Caenorhabditis elegans: one gene and its partners. The protein of the gene in region 3 interacts with the protein of the main gene of each other region in a pairwise test. Each region holds a gene or a part of one and is shown on either strand. Other genes may lie near its edges.

Region 1 (5,241 bases), on a different chromosome or scaffold from region 3:
ATAAGGCGCATGTGGAATCAAATCGGTTTCAGGCAAAAAGCTTTAAGAAAACCTCCAGAGAGTTGTTTTTCAGAAAATTGAGCAAGATGACATGAAAGAGTCAGTAGCAGTTCTTCTTCAAATCCTTGTCTACAATCCGAACAAGCGTCTCTCTGGAATTGAGATTCTCACTCATCCGTACTTTAATGTGGTAAGTTTATCTGAACCTTATGATTGTCACCTAACATAATGATTTTAGTTATTCAACGAGAAAACGGTGAGATTCAATAAAAAGAAGATTTTGTGTCTTTCTGCAGTCGACTTACAATCCGTGAAATCTGGAGATACAACTTTGACGAATGAATCGGTTGAGCAGACGAGTTGAATTCGAGAAAAGAGCACTGATATTTAGATTATCAATTTTGTAATATATGAACAGTTCTGAATGGGGTCTCCAAATTGAAATATATGTCACTATATCTGTCTTTTTAGAAGCATAACTAATTTGAATATGGAGTTTCGTCCTATGGCTCCTCTGGCGAAGAGCGCCTTGGACTGCTTGGCATTGTACACCAACTTTTTGCCAGAATTTGGCAGCGACAATATTTTTTTCAACAGTTTAAAACAATACAAGAAAGGTTTGGGTCAAAGTTTGACATGAATAAAATCAAACTTATGCCAAACTCTAGTGCATTCTAAATCTACAAAAGGCCGAGTGGAAAAGTCGATCTGAAACAAACATTCTGAAAGCTTGAATTATGTGTGTTTTTTTAGAAAGAAAACTTTAACTTGATAAAAAACTACACTTTTGGAACAATTTCACAAAACTCGAAAGTTGGAAACATCCAAGGAACAGTTTTCAGGTCGATATTTTTTAGTTCAAAGTGCGAGGCATGTAGCAGAATGTTTTATAGGGGCCTATGCAAAAGGTTTTCTTTCAAATAAAAAATGATTTTAATTGAGAGTGTGAAAGTTAAAAAAATTTGATCAATCAATTGTGGTCATTCAACTTTCAAATACTGGTCACACTATAAATGCGTGCATTATTTCACTTATTTTCTTGCATTATCACTATCACATTTTTATATGCCCTATCATCCATCCATCATCTTCTAATTTTTTTCCGTTTCCTCCTTCATCATCCTTAAAAAGTCTCTCCCCTCTAATTCCATCTGTTGCTTCTTCTCTCAAATATCCAGTGACCATATGTAGGGGGGTCACTCTCAATTTCTTTTCATTTCTTTCTCTCTTCATAGTAATAATACGGTCCTCAACGGTGTTTGGTGACGAGGTACTGGACAAATAGAAAAAGCGCGCACGCCCCTCTCTCTCACACCATTCCTTTCCCATCCCCCATCATCCTAAAGAAATATTGATTGGTGAGAGTATATGAAAAATGGAGACTCAGACATACGTATCGCGTGTTTAAAGACATTGTGTCTACAATGGAGAGTATTCTCTGACGCATCTTACTCTAGATTTTCCATACTTTCTCTCTCATCGGGCAAGGAAGCGACGATTTACATAATTAATTGATTTACTCTCGATCCATTGCACAACTTGTTTTAAAATTCAATTTTTTAAATTCTTCACCTAATATATTCAATTGCCTATAATTTGTTTTGGTGTCTTTCAATTCTTCTTTTCGACAGAAAAAAACTTTTCTTTATAGTTTTCAGAATGGCTCAGGATATATTTATGGATCCATGGCAATCGGCGACGAGGTAAGGCATAGTGTGACATTATTAGCTTAAGTTATGGCTTTTTATTGCAAAAAATGTGTTGATTAAAATTGGTTTTCTATGCAATACAACTATTCAGATATGCTTATTGCTGGTTATTTTTGGATACTTCTAAACTTATATTTTAAATTTTAAATAATTTCAGCTTCGCAATGGAAGATGAAGATATGGGCATGCCATCTGGAAAATATGCTCGAATGGAAGATGAAATGGGAGAGAATAAGGAAAGATTTGCAAGGGAAAATCATTCAGAGGTGAGGTTTTGAACATTTATATCTGAAAATTTATACTGCTATGTTTCATTAATTCAAATAAAAAGTACGATACTCTGGGTATTGTTTGACCTGTAAAACTGCAATTTTCATGGGACGTAACACAACTCAAAATTAAATTTCCAGCGATTTTAAATTTTTTAAAAATTTCTACATATGGTGCTAAAATTATCGAGTCATAGAGAACTTTTTAAAAAATTATTTCAAACTGTATAATTAAAATTCAAATAGGCACAATTTTAGAGTTTCACATATCATGAATTCGGAAGCCGACCGAAAAATCTTTCTTTCTGCAAGTATTAAACTAAAAACTAAAAGTTTAAAAATTTGGCAATTTACCAACCCTTTGGTTGAAATTTCTGAAATCAAAATTCAATATGGAAAAAGTAAAATTTCTTGCTTCAAATTCAACTGAAAACGTTTTAGATTGAGCGACGTCGCCGTAACAAAATGACTCATTACATAAATGAATTAGCCGAAATGGTTCCACAATGTGCATCACTTGGACGTAAACCCGATAAACTAACGATTCTCCGAATGGCAGTATCACACATGAAAGGAATTCGAGGACATACGGCACAAGATGAAACTTCATATAAACCATCATTTCTTACGGATCAAGAATTGAAACATTTGATTCTAGAAGCAGCGAATGGATTTCTTTTTGTTGTTTGTTGTCAGACTGGAAAAGTGTTATATGTTGCTGATTCAATTACTCCCGTACTTAATTTGAAGCAGGTGAGCAAGATTTGAATCTTTCATTATTGAAATATAAATATTAATTTTTAGGAAGATTGGCTTCAAAGAAATTTGAATGAACTCATACATCCAGATGATCAAGATAAAATTAGAGATCAATTGTGTGGAAGTGAAGTATCAGTTAATAAAGTTCTCGATTTGAAATCTGGTGAGTTATCATAAAAAGAGAAGAGGAGAGATTCAAGGATTTTTTGAATTTTTTCCAAAGTAGTCATATAACTTGGAACCGTTTACAGTAATAACCACTTACTTCAGTCAATCGAATTAAGTAGTATTTGTTTTAAAAGCATCTATTGTAATTTCACTAGATTTTGGCATGCCCAAAATTTGTGATTTTCCGTCAAAAAGGTATCTGCTCGCTCTTAAAATGTGTGTATCTTTAAAAGTACAGTAACCCACTTCAAGTTAACTATCAAAATCATTGAATTTTAGGATCAGTGAAACGCGAAGGAGCATCAACACGAGTTCATATGTCATGTCGTCGTGGATTCATCTGTCGAATGCGTGTCGGAGCCCTTGAACCACTTCATCGTCTCAGAAATCGCCGTCCCTTATTCCAACATGCTGGTCAAAATTACGTTGTGATGCATTGCACAGGATATATCAAAAATGCTCCACCACAGGGAATTAATGCTCCAGCTTCATCTTGTTTGGTGGCAATTGCCAGGTTACAGGTTAGAATAGTTTACGATGCAGATAAACGTGATTTAATTAAAGGTAGCATCAATGCCGGTCTGTGCTGATCCAACATCAACAAATCAATTTTCGGTTCGTGTTTCGGAAGATGGAAAAATGACATTTATTGATGCGAGGGTTAGTGATTTAATTGGTTTGAGCAGTGATCAACTTATCGGAAGATATTGGTGGAATCTTGCACATCCAGCAGATGAGAAGACCCTTCAAGACTCATTTGTGGCTCTTTTAAGGTAAGTTTTCGTAAAAAAACCTTTTTGAACAATTTGCGTCCATCAAATTTCATATTACCTGCTTTCAAGAGTGTGTGCGGTTTTAAAGAGTACTGCAATTTCAAACTTTCTACTCTGTAGAATTTTCGTCGATTTTTCATAGTTTTTCTCACTATTTGTAAAAATACATGTTGTCTTATGTGAGTTTTTAAACAAATAAATATACCTTTATCAAAAAAACTATGAAAAACCAAAGAGAATTGAGTAGAAACATTAAAATTACCGTACTTTTTAAAGGCTCAAACCTTTTTCATTAAACAAACATTTGTCTTGTCGAGACCAGGTACCGTAGTTTTTTAATCGTAATTTTCGCGGTTCTAGGGAATATTTTCAGGCGAATTTTTCACGAATAATATTCGTGGCGGGACCATTTCGAAAAATGTACTTTCCTTTAAACCTATAGCAGTAGATTCCATGTTAACTAAATAAAAACATTTCCATTTCAGTGACCAACCAATGAGAATAAATATTCGAGTACGTACCAGTACTGATTACATTCCATGTACTGTGTCTGCATACAAATTCATGAATCCATACTCGGAACAGTTCGAATACGTGGTTGCAACACATCAAATTGCTCCACAAGAAGATATTAATAATTGGGTCACTGCACCAACTGTTCCTCAACCTCAAGCCAGTGAATTTGGAGAGCTCGGCGGTGCTCCAAGTGCTGTGGATTACGGACAATCGAGTAGTGGAGGATGGAGACCTGAAGCTCAAGGAGCACCACAGGCACAATGGCAATGGGACCCGATGAATGGATATAACCAGTGATTATAATTTCTAGAAATTGATATATTTTTTTTTGAAGCCTATTCCAATGATTCTCATTTCTATCTACTTCTTGAAAAGTTTTCTTTTTTTTTCAATTTCCTTAACTTTTCTGTTCAGTATTTTTCCTTTTTTCTGGACCAACGAGTTATTCAACTCATTCTGAACACTAAATTTTATTACTAATAATATTGTCAAAAAATCAAAAGAAAACAACGAATAAATGAAAACAACTATAAAATAACGGATTATTGCTTATTTTGGTGGATTTTGAAGAATATATTCCGTCGCCGACGTTGCCGTTGACTTGTGCTTTGAGAACTGTTTCGCTGGAAGTTGTTCCGTGTTCATTTCTGTTGGAAGCCATGTTATCGGTGTCCATTGACCTTGAATAGAAGGAACCAATGCACTTTGACGACTCTCTAGCTTCACAACTGGTTCGCCGCTTCTTGAGAATAACAAATGCACATCTTTGCTCACTTCGTCTTGTGTCATGTTTTTTGCATTGATCTGTAGAGTCCGACCATTTCCATATTCTGCGCGGATTGATGGGTTCGAGTTTCGCACAGGCTGGGCATAGATCACAACTGATGGGTTTTTACGGCCTGAAAAAAACGGATTTCCTTCTTTATTTAAAAAAAAATGAAGCTTTTAATTTAGATTCTCTATTAATTTTTTGATCGTAGACAGAAATTCTTACCGATTTCAACGAGTTGATTCTCAATAAAATTGCGAACTCCGACACTGGATTCA
Region 2 (5,668 bases), on a different chromosome or scaffold from region 3:
CTAAAAAATATAGAGGAGGCTCTAAAATGCCTGGAAAAGTTTTTTTGTTCTAGAATCTTAAAAAATCTAGAATATTCTAGAATATTGGCTGACTTTTGTATCATAGTTCTAGAATCTTTAAAAAACACAACGTTTATTTTTGAAAAAAAAAATATTTCTTAGATTTTTTAAAAAATTTTCTACTGTTTCAAAATTTGATGAAAGGAAATTGCACATTAACGATTTTCAATTCGTCTATCTTAGATTCTTTTCAATTTAATTTCAATCAGTTTCAATTTCAAATTTAAATGCATTGAAAATATAATTTTAATTAAGTTAAGAAAAACAAATTCAATCCTGTAAGAGGATATTGGAGGAATTTATGCAAGCCTCACAATTTCAAATAAATACAGAATGTCATTTTACCAGAAACAAAAAGGGTTCATGAAATTTGAAAAATATTAGAAATTTATTACATTTTCTTTTAAAGTTCTTCAACAAAATTATTTGCTCTTTGTGCTGTCTACTAGAACATACAATACCACGTGTTTAGTGTTTGTCAAAAAAATTCGGGAGAAGACTACAAACTAAATGAACTTTTAAAACGTTCTGCTTATTATTGATTCCTTTTTTCCATATTCTCCCAACTTTTAGGGACTAAACTCGGATAAATAGTTTCGTTGTTTCTGTTTTTTTAAACTCCGAAACTTTGCTATAATCAGTGTTTCTGGAAGCTTCTTATCTAGTTGAATTGATGAATGATCTTTGTTTTTTATCTTTCAAACAGTTTGAGAAATAATGACACGTGATTGGACAATGATATAGATCGTCTATTTTCCATCTCCCCATCAGAAAGATTTCATACATTTACTCTCATTTCAAAAATAGATTTGAGTGTATTTTTGGCGATAAACTTTTATTTTCGACAAAACGAAAACTTCCGTGTTTTCAGACAACATTTGTGAAAATAGTTAATTAAGTTGTTCGTTTTTTGACTGTAATTAGCATGTCTACTTAAGTTCCCAAAAGATTTCCACAGAATTTTAGACTGAAAATGCATATCAAATTCTCTAATTTTTTTTGCTGTTTCAGTATAGGTTTATAAGTGGGGATGAAGTTGCGAGCTTAGTTAATGGTTTATTTTAGTGATAGTTTATTTATATAATATTTTGATTAAATTCATCAGCGATCAGGCAACTCTCCAAAATAAAATTATATTTGACCTTCCATGCGTACCTTCATGAAAATGCCCGAGATGTATTTATTCTCACGGCAAAGTAAATGGACGTACATAGGGACGTATTTATTCATTTTAATACCTGATTTGAAGTCTTTCTATTCGGTTTCGGGATACTCTAGTTCAATGTCAATCTATGATCTTCAACCTTTTTTCAATCGTGTTCAGTTTTCCCCACGTCATGGTATCAACCTGTTCCTCACCTCCTCCAATACCATTGATACTAGTTTTTTTCTCTCTTTAATTTCCATATCTATTTTGATCTGTTTCTTTATTTCTCTCCCACCTCTTTCACTACTGTTGTCTCTAATCATGACGTAACTGATTTCTATTTTCTCTTTTGATTTATCAGATGACAAGGTATTACATTAACACAAGAGAGTTCCAGACAGTAAGAGAAAAATGATTTTTAAAAGTGTACGACCCGCCCAGTTTTGGTGTTAAGGAGCTCAGAGAATGAGCAAAATATCAGTGATTCAGAACAGAAGTAAGATTTAGAGAGCCGTCTGATCTGTCGAATACGAGACTAGACTCTGCCCTTTGCAAGTACCGCCCACCTAAATCCTTTCACTATATCATTTCCTTGTTATTCATTCATTCTATCCAATTGTTCTATAAACGATGACATGCTGCATTTACAGACGACCTATGACATTCAGTGATCCAATGGATCCATCAATACCCATATTTCAACATCATGAGGAAGAAGGTTTGTTTTTAAACATTTACTTAAACATTTCTTTAAACATTTCAAATTTTAACATTTCAATTGTGAAAAGGTTTTAAAATGTGTTTTCATTTAGCAGCTTTATTGGAATAATTTTTAAAAGTAAAATATTAACTATAAGATTTTAGTTTTAATATTTAAATTATTACAAGATAGCTTTAATCTTTTTGCGTCAAGAGCTCACAAAGTACGTGAGAATATTAGATACAAAGTACGTGCCAAGGAAACTTTTCATGAAATTTTTCATGTGAAAATTATTATTTAAAACGTAATTTGGAAAATGGACCCGGAAGTTATCATAAGCTAAATATCAATTTTAAGAATGTGGGAATTTATTCAAGTTTCGAGATCAATTTTTGATTTTAAGAGAAGTAATACGATTTAATAACCTTGAAATTTCATTAAAAATTAAAATTTTCTGCTGTTTCACCACATGCATGTGCATAAGTTTTCAATGGTTTATGATACTTTGATAAATCGAAGTAAATCATATCGCTTCTTGTTTATACTTTAAACGAAAATTCTAGTTGTAAAGTCAATAGACAAAAATGAAAATTTATTTAAAAAAAAATTGTCAGTGAAAATATAAACATCTCTAACTTATATTAGATTTTTTAGATTAGTAAAATAGAAAAAGCATTATTCCGCAAAATTGTAAGCAGGCAATTTAAATAAAAATTTTTAAAAATTCCAGAAGCCGGTCCCAGCACAACAATAAAAGCGGAGGAGGAAGATGGTCCATGTTGCTTAGTTTGTGGCCGAGTTGCAAATACTGGACATCATTACGGAGTGACTGCTTGTCTTGGATGTAAGACATTCTTCAGAAGAGTCGTACTTCAGAAGAACTCACCCAAATGCAAATACAAGAATCACTGTCGATTGGAGAAAAGTATGTACAACACGTCAAGAAAGAAAAAATCAAATTGTAATATTTTTATAGGCGTAAACGCGAAGAGGTTATGCAGAAGCTGCAGATATCAAAAATGTCTGGAAGTTGGAATGACCGAAGATGGTAAGCTTGTTTAATTTATTAGTTCTTAATTTTTTGAATGTTGGAAGTTACTGTAGAAGGTATAAATGCGCTTTTCCATGTCTTCTTGGTTGCCCTAATTTCCCATCATTTTTAGTAAGTAAAGTAATCTGCAAAACACCAAATGCTATATACATTCTTAATAACATTTTTTGACTGAAAAAAAATTCGGCGTAACCACAGAAACCATAATTTTCTGTCTGAAATTATTCTGAATCAAATTTAATTTGAGCCTAATTTACACTGTGAAACAGAAATAATATTATACAATTTCCAGCCCTACATCCCTGCCGAGATGTGATTGGTCGTCGAGTTCGTAACAATTCAAGTGATTCTTCACCCATTTCAAGTCCTCCATCAATACCAACACCATTATCGGTAAGTCTCTTCCAGTCTTTTCCACCACTTCTCCCATTCTTCCCGTGTGTGACGACTTTCCGAGTGTGTACGTTGCAGATATGCAAACTGATGAATTTGAGCGAAGGAGACCACAAACTTTTGCAGACAATCACCGATATGGATACTGACATACGAACACGTACTGCTCATATTCTTGGAGAACCGGCGAACGGAAATGAACAGATCCATTTTTACAGTCCGGTTAGTTTTATTTTCCAAAAATTTGTTACTGTTTCTATATTATTTAAAAAGTGTTTATTATGTTGATTTGTAAATTTTCAGACCCCAGACTACACAAACGTAATAGTGAATCACGGTATAGGCCCTTCTCTGAAAGTTGATATATTACTACTCCGAGAATGGGTTGATCGAATTCCCGGATTTCGAGAACTCAGTGAACGCTTTCAGGTAGTTGTTTCTAAACAAATACTATTTAATCCAAAATTTATTTTCAGCAACATTTAATGCATCGATTCTGTTTGAGATATACTGTGATTGAACATGGCCTCTTTACAGCTCAAATGCCATATCATAAAAATGTTTGGTGAGTTTCCGTTAAAAAATCCTCCTAATAATATTTAAATAATTCAGGTTCCTCTCAGACCGAACATGCCTTGTCAGTGAATTCGAGAATCTTCCACAGGAAATAAAGAAGCATCTCACTCCGAAAGTAATAAACGAGCAACAATTATTGGCTTCATTCACAGAAATGCTCATTCACGAAGTAGCTGATCCTCTAAGAAGATTGAAACCTGATTCTGTTGAAGTTGCTACTGTGAAGACGTTAATGTTGTTGAGTAAGTGTAAATTTTGCTGTTTCAAATACAAAGTAAAGTTTTCATGATTTGTGATATCTTTCGATATGTCTATAGTAAATTGAGTTCATATTAGCAATTTTATCTAAAATGCGGATTTCGGAAATATCAATCCTATATTTTGAAATCCCAACAAAAAAAACTAATTTGGTAAATATTGAAAATCCGATTTTCAAAAAAAAAAAAACGAGAAATGCTTGAATTCCCTCCAAAATGAAAACTGCAAAAGCAATCAGCTATTTTCTCCACCTTATTTTCAACCAATCTGACAGAGTGCACAAAGTTTGAAATCGCTGATTGGTCAGGCAGTTCTCTCCATTTAAAGGATATTCGTACATGGCGACAGCTAAAAACCGCGTCTCAACAGTTTTTTTTGATTTTCATCCGTTATATTGCAACATATTGCCTCATGTTTTTTGAAATAAAATCCCACATTTTTGTAAGAAACTTTCAAAATTCTTTGTCAAATCTAGCTTAAGTTTGCGTGCCCAGTAAAATTATTAGGACTTCATGAACAGACTGTTTTTTTCCAGAACCAACTTGCCTTCGAGAAATTGATGGTGACTACCTTTCTACTGAAACTGATATCAAATCTGTGAACGATGTACGAAACCGTGTAATAAATGGACTCTACAGCCATTATATAAAAAACGGAATGGATCCAGAACAACTTCCAATCAGAGTTAGTGAGGTGAGTTTCGGAAAAGATTGGTTGTGGTAAATGAAAATATTTGTTTTATAGATTTTAAACCTAACTGGTGGAGTGGAGCAGTGTGCAGCTCGAGCCCTTGAGGAAATGCACCCTACTCGTGTATTCAACTTATCATCTTTTGATCCATACAGTTCTAATGTTATTTTTGGTTACTATAGAGATGTTTGAAACATTTTCTTTCTGACATATTATTACGCTATTCAATTGTGATGATTGTGATTATAGATTTACAAAAATAAACCTATTAATTTCGAGAAACGATTGTACAACCTCATAGTAATCAAATTCATTTTTGGAGCTTCCGTTTCCTGTAAGGGGGGCGAGAGGTGACGTCCCCCGATAACAACTATAAGTTCAATCATTTATTACTAGAAAATACAATAATTGATTAGAACTATAAATTGTATCTTCAGTTTTACATGGCAATCGATGATCCAGCAGATGTACCAGTGCTTGTATCATCACTCTTCTTACTCTTCTTTCCTTTCTTATCCTTCTTGTCCTTCTTTCCCTTCTTTCCCTTCTTTCCCTTCTTAACTTTCACTTTGCGAACCTTCGGAATATGCTTTGCACGAGCTTTGACAAGATATCTAACCAGACAAACATGAAGAATCAAGCAGAAAATTCCAAAGATCACTCCAAAAATAGCTCCAGCCAACATTGGCTGTGGAATCGATTTTCCATTAATGGTTGATCCTTGATCTTCAGGCGCATGTGGCGCGGTTGGGGCGGTAGTTGAATTCGACATCTGAAACTTTTTATGAGCATT
Region 3 (3,987 bases):
AAGTTTAGATTGACCATCCAGAACTCTTAAAATCAACGCTTCAACTCGCTGTAAAAGAATTTTCAAAAAGACACTTTAAAATCTTTGCAACTAACGTCTGGTACTTTCACCTTTGAAAAACAGTCTTCATATGAGTTTTCAATCATTATAAATATTAAGAAAAAGCAGCAATGAAAAGTTTCTGGCAGTTTAAGTGAGGCATGAAAAGTTGTTGAGATTTTGAGCATGCTGTTCAAGCACGGCATGATTTATAACGGAAGTTCAGTCGGGTGGAATGAAATTCTCAAGTTGAAATTTCTAACAAAAACGAGTTTGATCCAAATACGCAAAATTTTGTTGAATTTTGGAGTTTATTTAAGGTGATTGAAGAAGAAGACGCAGAGCCATACTGAAGACGTGGAGAAATCTGCAAACACTGCTCTTGACGACTCTTTGCATCTCAATGAACCTAATTCAAAAATTCAAAAAATCTCGGACAACTTTGACTGCACATTAAGGTGAATAACGTTTCGGACTAGAATTTTTAGTTGAAACATATTTCAGAAAAAGATCAAGCCTCGTGGAGAGCACCTATCGTTAACTGACGAAAGTTTTACCGTGAAGATGGAGGTGACACGTTATCTCTCCACTGCAGTAGAAACTATCAGTCCGAGAGATTTTTGGGTAAATTCTGTGACCAAATCATCATATCCACGCCTCTCCAAATTTGCTCGACGCTTTATCATCTGTCCAACTGGCTCAAGTGAAGCTGAGAAACTGTGTTCAACAGCCGACACGAGTCTTACTAAATACCGAAAAGCTTTGTCACCTGAGAATTTAAAATGCTCCTATTTTTGAGCAAAAATATTCGTCTAATGAATACTATTGATGAGCCAGAAGGCTACTTGGTTGACTGAAATTATTGATTTATTTTCTTTAATTTCTAACATGTTGTTTTGTTTAAACAGTTTTTTCTGATGTTTTTGTTGTCGGTTTTCAATAAACTGTTCATTTTTCAATAAAAATTAGTTGAAACAGAAAAATAACACAAATTTGAAGAAAAATATCCGAAATATCCAAATTGTCCGAAAAATATCCGATTCAAAAAAATTATTTTATTCGAAACAGCGAACTAAAGGATTAAAGGATTAAAAGACGATCCGTTCTTCAAGTGCTATGCTCTGCGGAACTGGGATTCAGGTAAACTGACTGGTGGTGATCTCACTGGGCTATAATTTAAGCCACATCCTAGCCTGGGACTGTGGCCGATAATCCTGTAGTGGATTGCTCCACTCTCCAATAGAGGCTGGTTAAACCTAGGGGGTCTTGAACTTCAACTCGTGATCTCCAGATTGTTAGCGGCGACCACTACCGACTGAGCTATCTGTCGCTAAAAATCTAAAATAACCGATATCCGAAATAGCGAATATCGGGAAATTTAGATAAGAAAGTTTAGAGAAGCCCTACCTTAATTATACCTAACTGTAAGAAAACACTCTGGGAGCTTTTTGAATTACTTACACATTTTATTAAAAATTAATCTGAAACTTTTTTCAATCCAAAGATCAGCTTAACGTCTTTGATATTTGAATTTCCTCCACTAATCCACATCGATTGATGACGTACGAGACCGCGAGAGATGCAGATAGCACGCGACAGCCCTGATAAACTAAGAGAAATAGTATAAGAAACGGGTGCGATCAGAGAACATACAAAAAATATCGAGCAAACGCCGGAGGTGGAAAAGATTGGGGGCAGCCAAACTACACCAAGCGCTAGTCGTCTCCCTTTCCTCTTCTGTCATTTCACAATCAACACATCACTGGACACATACAGCCACTTTCTCGCAGAAACATCTCATCTGAAAATTATGAACTTCAACATGAACTATAGCACCGAACCGTCTCAATACCAATCTTACGTCATCGCGAACGCTCCTTCCGCCACAGCGCCAATTTGTACAGTAAGTTCATTTAACTTTTAATTGATTAATAATTAGTTTAAACAATGATCCTTTCCAGGAAATCACGTGCTGTGTTTGTTGAGCCTACGGGTCATGCATACGGACAAAATGATTACCAACAAATGGCTTATGTAAATGAACAAAATCCACAGTTCTTGCTTTATAATGGGATGCACAATCAAACCCATTCCACCCCACAATATCATAACCATCATCATCATCACCATCAATCTCCGACATATCCTCAATCATATTTCAACCCCTACTCCCATCAATCTTATCAACAGCATCATTTGAACTCCGATGTCAACTTCCAAATGGTTCCACAAAGCACTTCGGTTCCACCAGATCCGTTTTGCTCAATTGAGCCAATGGAGACTAATGTACAAGCAAAAGTGAGTTGATAGTTCAGAAATTGCGCTCAGGAAATTTCACAAAAACAATTGCACGAAAATTCTGACATGGAAACTGTCTGTCTACTTGATAACGGAGAACCAATCGGGTTGAGAGATCAAAAATGATCTGCGGGAAGACTATGTTAAGGAAATATAGTTAGGTTGAGAAGCAACGGTGGTTTCACGTGAAATTCATGTGATTCAAAGCTATAAGGAAGAGGAAATGTTGTGTATGCTTTTGGTGTCAACGAATGCAAATATTTTAGTAAATGAAACCGATACGTTGCTTCTGGTAAAGTAACATTGAATAATGAACATTTGACTTTGAAAGGGGTAAAATTCAAATAAAACAACCTCCTAGCTTTTTAACTTTAGGGGTTACAATTATCTGCTTTTGCAGAAGTTTTTGAGTTGCAATCCTCTGGAAGTCTTTTGAAATTTGACTGAAACTTTAAAAAAACAATTCGGTATATCCGGAATTTTACATCTAAACATATGAAAAACTCACAAAAATGTTATTTCAGGAACAAATTCTCGAAGAAATCGTGCGCGAGTGCGAAGAAATCGAGCGTCGTTCCAACTCGAGCGCGTCTCCAGCCTCAAATTGGTCTTCAGATGAACATGACTCTCAATCCGAAAAATCTTACCACCCATACAAAACCCCAGAAAAGAAGGAACGAAAGAAGGCTCAAAACCGTCTCGCAGCTACCAGATACCGTGAAAAGAAGCGTCGTGAAAAGGAAGAGGCTATGACTTGCATTGAAGGTCTTAGTGTCACCAATGGCAAGCTGAAGGATCAGGTTTGTAAATTATGAAGAATTTTGAGGATTAGCTTTTTTTCCAGGTATCCGAGTTGGAGCGTGAAATTCGTTACTTCAAAAAGTTCATGACCGAGATGGGAATGAAAACTGTCACCGACTAAACCTCAATTTTTAATGTTTTTTACTCCGTTTGAAAGTTCAACTCATTTTATTATTATTAATATTTTCTAAACTTCATCCTTCCCTTATATTGTACGAATTGTGGATTTTTTAAAATTTCATACGCCAATGGTATTATTCTGTTCGTTTGCATGATATTAACCTTACTCTTCAAATAAAAAAGTATCTGAAACCGATAGATCTATAACTTATCACCAACACTTATAGTTGGTTGTAGTCAAATTGTAGCTTCTTGTTTTGTCATCATTTTTCATTTATTTTGTCATCATGACTACTAGTGAACTTGAAGCGCACGTCATTATTCCAACACTGGCGACAAACTCATATTTTAGCTAAAAACAATTAGGAGTGAGTGGAAAAACAAAAGTATATCGGGGGGAATCGGACAAGTCAATTTGAAATTTGGTTAGTGAAACTTTTCGAGTGGATCAGACTCTTTTAGATAGGAAAGTGTTTAGAAAATTCAAAAATATTTATTTCATCCGAAAATGTACGCTTTTAAAAAATATTGGTTTCATCCAAAAATATACGTTTTTCAAAATTATTTATGCTCCGAAAATGTACCGCAACTAAATTGAAAAAAAAAAATTTTCCGCAGCGAAATTTTCCGCGACGATATTTTGCCACGACAAACTTTTTCCGCCTCAAAGTTTTCAGCATCGAAATTTTTCCGGAGCATCGAAATGGCGCGGAAACGGTAAGTCAAACT
Region 4 (5,446 bases), on a different chromosome or scaffold from region 3:
TTAATAAATGCATTATTTATTTCCTTGCTGAAAGATATGTCGGACATAAGTTTAATAAATATTACACCTGCTACGAGAAAGGTATCAATTTGATTTCAGAGCAAAGTTCTCACGTTTCCTTTTTTTGCGATCAAAAACCATTGTCACCTCTTTTTATGCACACATTTATTTAGAATCTCATTCTATTTGACACCCACTCATTGAATATGTTTCGAACTTTTTTTGATCTCCGTTTCAAATTTATTTGAATCTAATGGAACTATCTGTTTTACGCGTCACTTTTAATCTCTGTTCATTGTTTTTGTCACAAATTCACAGTAATGGTTAGCAAAAAAAGATCGACAGTTCGAAAATAATTTGGGTCCAAACATAGACGAACTACAAAGTTTTGTTAATTGTTTTGTTGATTCAGCTGCTAAAAACTTTACTAGCTGGATTGAATCGATATTGCGGGTTTATTTCCTAACATTTTTACTATAAGTTAGCCAATTTTTCCAGTTAAAAATATAATGAAAACATAGGAAGTAAATAAAATATAGAAAGTAGATAAAAACGTAATCATAGCTTTTAAAACAATATTAACTGTTGGTGAAACATTAATGTGATTTTTGCACCAATATACCTTACTTCCGTTTAAAGCGTCATAGTTTTAGTAATAAGTTTGAATAATTTCATAGTATTCTGTGAACTTTCAATCCTGACTACGTCAAGATTTTGAAGGGTCACTTCAACGATTTGAAACATCATTACCAACAATGTCTTGTCCCCGAAAATGTGTGACGTCGCAACCGAAAAAGACTGTCAGATATCAAATCAAACTACAGATTCAAACGTGACAGAGATTTTCGACTTTTGTGACGTACAGTCCACCCAATATCTGGGGCCACCATGGTTGGCGCCAGAGCCGGCTGGCGTCGTCTCGGTTGTTTCCCTTTGTCTCTAACTCTCACCTATATCCGTACTATCTCTCATATTTTGATATGAGGATTTCATTGCGTTAAACTTCGTTGCAACATTTTGCTTCGTTGAGATAAAAACCGGAAGGTTTTGTGTTTTGTTGCTTTTCTATTGTTTCTTGCGTGGCACCGTGGGCGCCGGTACGGTTTCTAGGTGTGGTTTAGGGGTACGGTATGCACAAAGAAGCAGGCATGTGTTGGTATATAACGAAGCGAAGTAGGCATTTTAAATTCATTTTTTGAAAGCTTTTCTATTTGCTATTCAGTGAGTTCCTAAATCAGTGAGTGATCAATTCCGTGTAAGATATTAAGTAAGCAGCAAGCGTTGTTAGTGTTTTTAGTTTCAAAAATATATACGCTTTATCAAGTTCCAGTAAACGATAAATTCATTTTCAAGAATAAAACAGAAAGCTGACCCTAAACTGTCTTAAACTTCTAATGATACTCTGTTTCAGCGATCTCTTTTTTGAGTTCTGATTTATATGATTTCATATTTGTTATTCAGCTCCAAAATTCTATCTTCTTATGTGAATTTGAAGACTAGGAATTTTGTAGTATCATATCCAATGTCTGTCGTTTTATCAATTTTCGTCCATTTTTTTCTTAAATATTCTGGTTTTTTTTTATTGGTTTCACTGTTTCTAAACGTCTGAACTTTTCAGATACATTTACCGTCGATCAACTCTAACCTATGCAGACTATTTTGGTAATTATTGACTTCTCATTTTAAAAAAGGTGTGTGAAATTAAAATAAAAACAAAATTGAATTTTCTAATAATTTAACAAATATTTTCAGGATATAATCAAATTCATTGACTGTGATTACGTGCTTCTCGGGTCCACAAACACATATATTCTCAATGTCTCCTCATCCTCGAGTACTAAACGACAATAGTGAGATTTGTTGATATTCTAAAAATAATAATAAGACGCTCTCACCCTTCTAATGAGTGCTTCTGACTAAAGGTATCCCCCGTCACAATATATAGAATTTCTTAAAGTTCATACCGAAAAAAGTTCTGATCTATGTAGTTTACTCTAACTTTGATACATCCACTTATCAGAAAAAGAGGCATGAGACAACGAAAGCGTATTCTACGAATAAGCTCCTTCTTGTCAACCCCCTCATTTCCTTTTCGTTTCTACTTACTTACGTCTACCTGCTCTCTCACTCTCTCTCTCACATTTGAGTCATTTACTTTCGTGTTGAGAGTAGCTGACTAGTACTTTAAATCAGTCATAAGCTTATCACCAAAAATTTATATTTCAACAAAAAAAAATTATGATTCGAAATTCCAATACTGCTCCGTCAGATCGACGATGTCTCGTTTGTGGTGATGACAAAGCTAGTCGACATTATGGAACAGTGGCATGTAATGGATGTAAAGGTTTCTTCAGAAGAAGGTGAGCGCTTTATATTAATTGCTGGAAAGTCCCAGCTTCAAAAGAATAAAGCATCCAAAAATTATCGTACCGCAAGCCAATGAGTTCATTGTTTGGTATTTTAACAATTTTCAATTTTCAGCGTCTGGGAAAAGCGAACATATTTCTGTATTGCCAATGAAGACTGCGAAGTTTTGCAACAATTCAGGAATCGATGCAGAGCTTGTCGTTTTAACAAATGCGTTATGGTCGGCATGGACGCCAGAGGTAAATGTTTTTTCTTGATTTCTATTTTTATTAATAAAAGGTTAAATTTCAAAAGGTGTTAGTTAAGATTTAGGTTTTTGGTAGGCGTACACGGTTACAAAAGTGCGCTGCTATGTATATACGTAATTGCGGAAATATTACTAATCTTCTGAGAACATTTATGGTTTATCTAAAATAATAAATTAAAGTAGTAATTTTAGCTGTCCAATCTGAAAGAGAAATCCGTCCAAACGAAACTGCAAAAAAACCAAAAGGATCATTAAAAGGAAAACGTTCAAGTCTACAAACATCGAATTCTGTTACGAGCTCCCAACCAAGTTCTAGTTCAACACCCGACGTTGATCACCCGCCAATTGTTAAACATCTATTCAATATTGTAAGTTATTTAAAAAGAATTTACCAAAATTATTCCTCTTTGAATTCAAAAAGGTCGACTGTCCAATGGGTTCATTATTGGTAAATTAGACACAGAAATATTTTAGTAATCAAATAAAATAGATAATCGTAAAGTAAATATTTGAGAAAAAAATGTTTGTTGAATCGAAATGGGCTTATTCTAAAAAATGTTTCCCTAAACAAATTTGAATGGGAGCGAGGTGTCATGGGAAATTCGTCCTGTGTGTGGGCATGGGCATTGGGAATGAAAAATAAAATATGTAGTTTGCAATAAAAATAGCTCCTTTAAGTAGTCTATCTTTTCCTATTTTATGTGCACACAACTCAAAAATTTAAATAATGATCAATGTGAATTGGCAAACGCTATACACGAAATATCATTTCTAATGTCTGATTTTTCAGCAAAGACGAGTAGAGACCACATTTTGCCCCGAATTTGATGACTTGGTGGCCCGATTTGGATCAATGTGTAATGTCCGAATCTCATTGCAATCTGCACTTGAAAACCCGGAAAAAGTGGCAACGAGGACAAAGGTTAGTAAATAAATCGTATGGCACTGGAATATCAAAATTTAGAATTTTACAAATTATTAGATTTGTATATAAATTTGTTTAGAAATTTAAAACAACGATTTTCAGCTTGAATGGGGAAATACGAGTCGTTTGGCAGACATTCACGATTTGAAAGTGACTTGGTGTCGAACATTTGTTTGGTTTCACGATTACTTGAGCTCATTTGAAGAGTTGGAGGTTTGTATCACGCTTATTGAATTTTTAAACAATTTTATGTGTTCTGTTACAGAGACTGAATTACTTGGACAGGGAGCAACTATTCAAGCTTCGATTTGCCCCAGTATCTTGGAATCTGTATGCATGGCATTCATATCAGAATAATATCGATGGAGTTACATTTACAAATGATGCTTGGTATCCACTTGATAAAGAAAAGCAAGCATTCATGGATAAACCGTTAGTTTTTTTCCAAGTTCATGTTCAACTAGATTGTCTGAGAATCAATTTCGAAAATAATCGACAAACAATAATTTTGTTAAAACTTTTCAGGTGCAACGATTATTACTCAAAAATTGCGGATACTATGATCCATGGCCTAGTTTATAGAATGAAAGGGATCAATATGACAGAAGAAGAATTTTCATGTATGCTCGCTATTACACTATTTAGACCAGGTTAGCTAACTTTCACAATTTTAAAATTTACATTGAACTATTTCTAGATTATCGTCTCTCTAGTGACGCCAATAAACTTCTCCAGTTAACTGGAGATGTTTTCACAAAAGCTCTGTCCGAGTATGTTTTGAGCAGAGAAACATCAGAATTGAAGGCAATGGAACGGATGGCAACTCTCATGATTATGCTTACTTCTGTACAGGTAACAGTAATATTATTGTTTTGCCGATTGAAATACAACTGAATAAAAAATCCGCATCCAGGTTTTGCCCAAGTTTGATTCAAAACTTACCAAACTTTTCTATGTCATTTTAACTTGGATTGGCAAGAGTATTAATGAGTTAAAAACCAATTATATATGTTTAGGGTGAAGTTAGGAAACGCCAAGTCAATATAAAAGTATTGTAATAAAAAACAGTTTTTTTTTACCAAACATACATTCGTTTCCAGAGCCTCGCTCGTCAAGAGGATGACAACGTCACATTTCTCGCCATTTTCGATATGGCTGACTTGGTTGGTCTGCCATATGAAGTACATTCAGCTCTGCGGCAAGACGATTTTTCTTAGAAAATAGTTTGTTTTTGATATGAAAACTATTAGGAATCTCACTTTGCGATCTCATTTCTTTTCTCTCTGTGATATATTCCCTACCTCTGTAACTATCTCCCTCCCATGTGAAATTCGGTGTCTAATTCCCCTCAAACAGTGTAAATTTCCAAGAACATCAATGTTAATAATAGATTTCTTTACATTTGAAATTATTATGTTTTTTTTAAATTTTAACCTGGCAATACTTCCAGTACGAATTTCTATTTATTGCAAATTTCACAACTTTCAAATAAGTGCTTATTCAGTTCAGAAATATGAATATCCCTTTTAATTCGGTCTCAAAAATACAATGGAGGAATCCATCACCAGTTAGTGACACGTCATGTCTTGTCTGTGGAGATCCACATGGAAAACGACATTATGGCGCAATGTCGTGTAATGGATGCAAAGGATTTTTTAGAAGAAGGTTAGTTTTATTTTCTTTTTGTTTTTTTTTCTAAATCAATAATTTTCCAGCATTTGGGAGAAACGAACCTATAAATGCAGTTTCAATAATGAGTGTATTATTGAGTTCAAATACCGTAATCGGTGCAGAGCATGCCGTTTGAAAAGATGTCTACATGTTGGAATGGATGCTAATGGTATCATATGGTACAAAATAGAATCCCGTTTGATAGTTTATATTTCAGCTGTTCGAAGTGAGAGGAC

The links.
Region 1: the proteins of atf-4 (region 3) and aha-1 interact in a two-hybrid assay, tested with the Caenorhabditis elegans proteins (one large-scale study listed by BioGRID).
Region 2: the proteins of atf-4 (region 3) and nhr-105 interact in a two-hybrid assay, tested with the Caenorhabditis elegans proteins (one large-scale study listed by BioGRID).
Region 4: the proteins of atf-4 (region 3) and nhr-138 interact in a two-hybrid assay, tested with the Caenorhabditis elegans proteins (one large-scale study listed by BioGRID).

What each region holds. Positions count from the first base shown.
Region 1 is NC_003279.8:10,193,409-10,198,649, reverse strand, and holds aha-1 (Aryl hydrocarbon receptor nuclear translocator homolog), read left to right. Parts: upstream 1-1,652; 5' UTR 1,653-1,659; coding exon 1,660-1,703; intron 1,704-1,866; coding exon 1,867-1,975; intron 1,976-2,419; coding exon 2,420-2,731; intron 2,732-2,782; coding exon 2,783-2,900; intron 2,901-3,184; coding exon 3,185-3,426; intron 3,427-3,469; coding exon 3,470-3,678; intron 3,679-4,163; coding exon 4,164-4,491; 3' UTR 4,492-4,725; downstream 4,726-5,241. Other genes in the region: Y106G6E.1 (Protein kinase domain-containing protein), read left to right, coding at 74-190, 239-364; C25A1.15 (Transposase), read right to left, coding at 1,054-1,329; mrpl-34 (Large ribosomal subunit protein mL43), read right to left, coding at 4,744-5,093, 5,189-5,241. UniProt on the Caenorhabditis elegans protein: Transcription factor. Efficient DNA binding requires dimerization with another bHLH protein, such as cky-1 or ahr-1. Regulates transcription of target genes, probably acting in complex with cky-1. Has a role in cellular differentiation.
Region 2 is NC_003282.8:7,048,299-7,053,966, forward strand, and holds nhr-105 (Nuclear Hormone Receptor family), read left to right. Parts: upstream 1-1,857; 5' UTR 1,858-1,864; coding exon 1,865-1,925; intron 1,926-2,411; exon of another isoform or gene 2,412-2,432; intron 2,433-2,637; coding exon 2,638-2,832; intron 2,833-2,883; coding exon 2,884-2,955; intron 2,956-3,158; exon of another isoform or gene 3,159-3,179; intron 3,180-3,250; coding exon 3,251-3,351; intron 3,352-3,429; coding exon 3,430-3,573; intron 3,574-3,654; coding exon 3,655-3,780; intron 3,781-3,827; coding exon 3,828-3,916; intron 3,917-3,963; coding exon 3,964-4,169; intron 4,170-4,233; exon of another isoform or gene 4,234-4,254; intron 4,255-4,720; coding exon 4,721-4,878; intron 4,879-4,929; coding exon 4,930-5,067; 3' UTR 5,068-5,152; downstream 5,153-5,668.
Region 3 is NC_003284.9:14,808,619-14,812,605, reverse strand, and holds atf-4 (Transcription factor atf-4 homolog), read left to right. Parts: upstream 1-1,942; 5' UTR 1,943-2,000; coding exon of another isoform or gene 2,001-2,024; 5' UTR 2,025-2,064; coding exon 2,065-2,337; intron 2,338-2,861; coding exon 2,862-3,137; intron 3,138-3,181; coding exon 3,182-3,259; 3' UTR 3,260-3,450; downstream 3,451-3,987. Other genes in the region: T04C10.3 (Coiled-coil domain-containing protein 96), read right to left, coding at 1-48, 96-245; T04C10.11 (uncharacterized protein), read left to right, coding at 1,802-1,942, 2,001-2,024. UniProt on the Caenorhabditis elegans protein: Transcription factor.
Region 4 is NC_003282.8:9,723,633-9,729,078, forward strand, and holds nhr-138 (Nuclear Hormone Receptor family), read left to right. Parts: upstream 1-1,618; 5' UTR 1,619-1,647; coding exon of another isoform or gene 1,648-1,686; 5' UTR 1,687-1,691; intron 1,692-1,752; 5' UTR 1,753-1,816; coding exon 1,817-1,850; intron 1,851-1,899; exon of another isoform or gene 1,900-2,126; intron 2,127-2,269; coding exon 2,270-2,360; intron 2,361-2,481; coding exon 2,482-2,606; intron 2,607-2,806; coding exon 2,807-2,982; intron 2,983-3,404; coding exon 3,405-3,536; intron 3,537-3,641; coding exon 3,642-3,752; intron 3,753-3,804; coding exon 3,805-3,971; intron 3,972-4,064; coding exon 4,065-4,189; intron 4,190-4,236; coding exon 4,237-4,391; intron 4,392-4,639; coding exon 4,640-4,756; 3' UTR 4,757-4,944; downstream 4,945-5,446. Other genes in the region: Nuclear hormone receptor family member nhr-100, read left to right, coding at 5,053-5,204, 5,255-5,379, 5,428-5,446.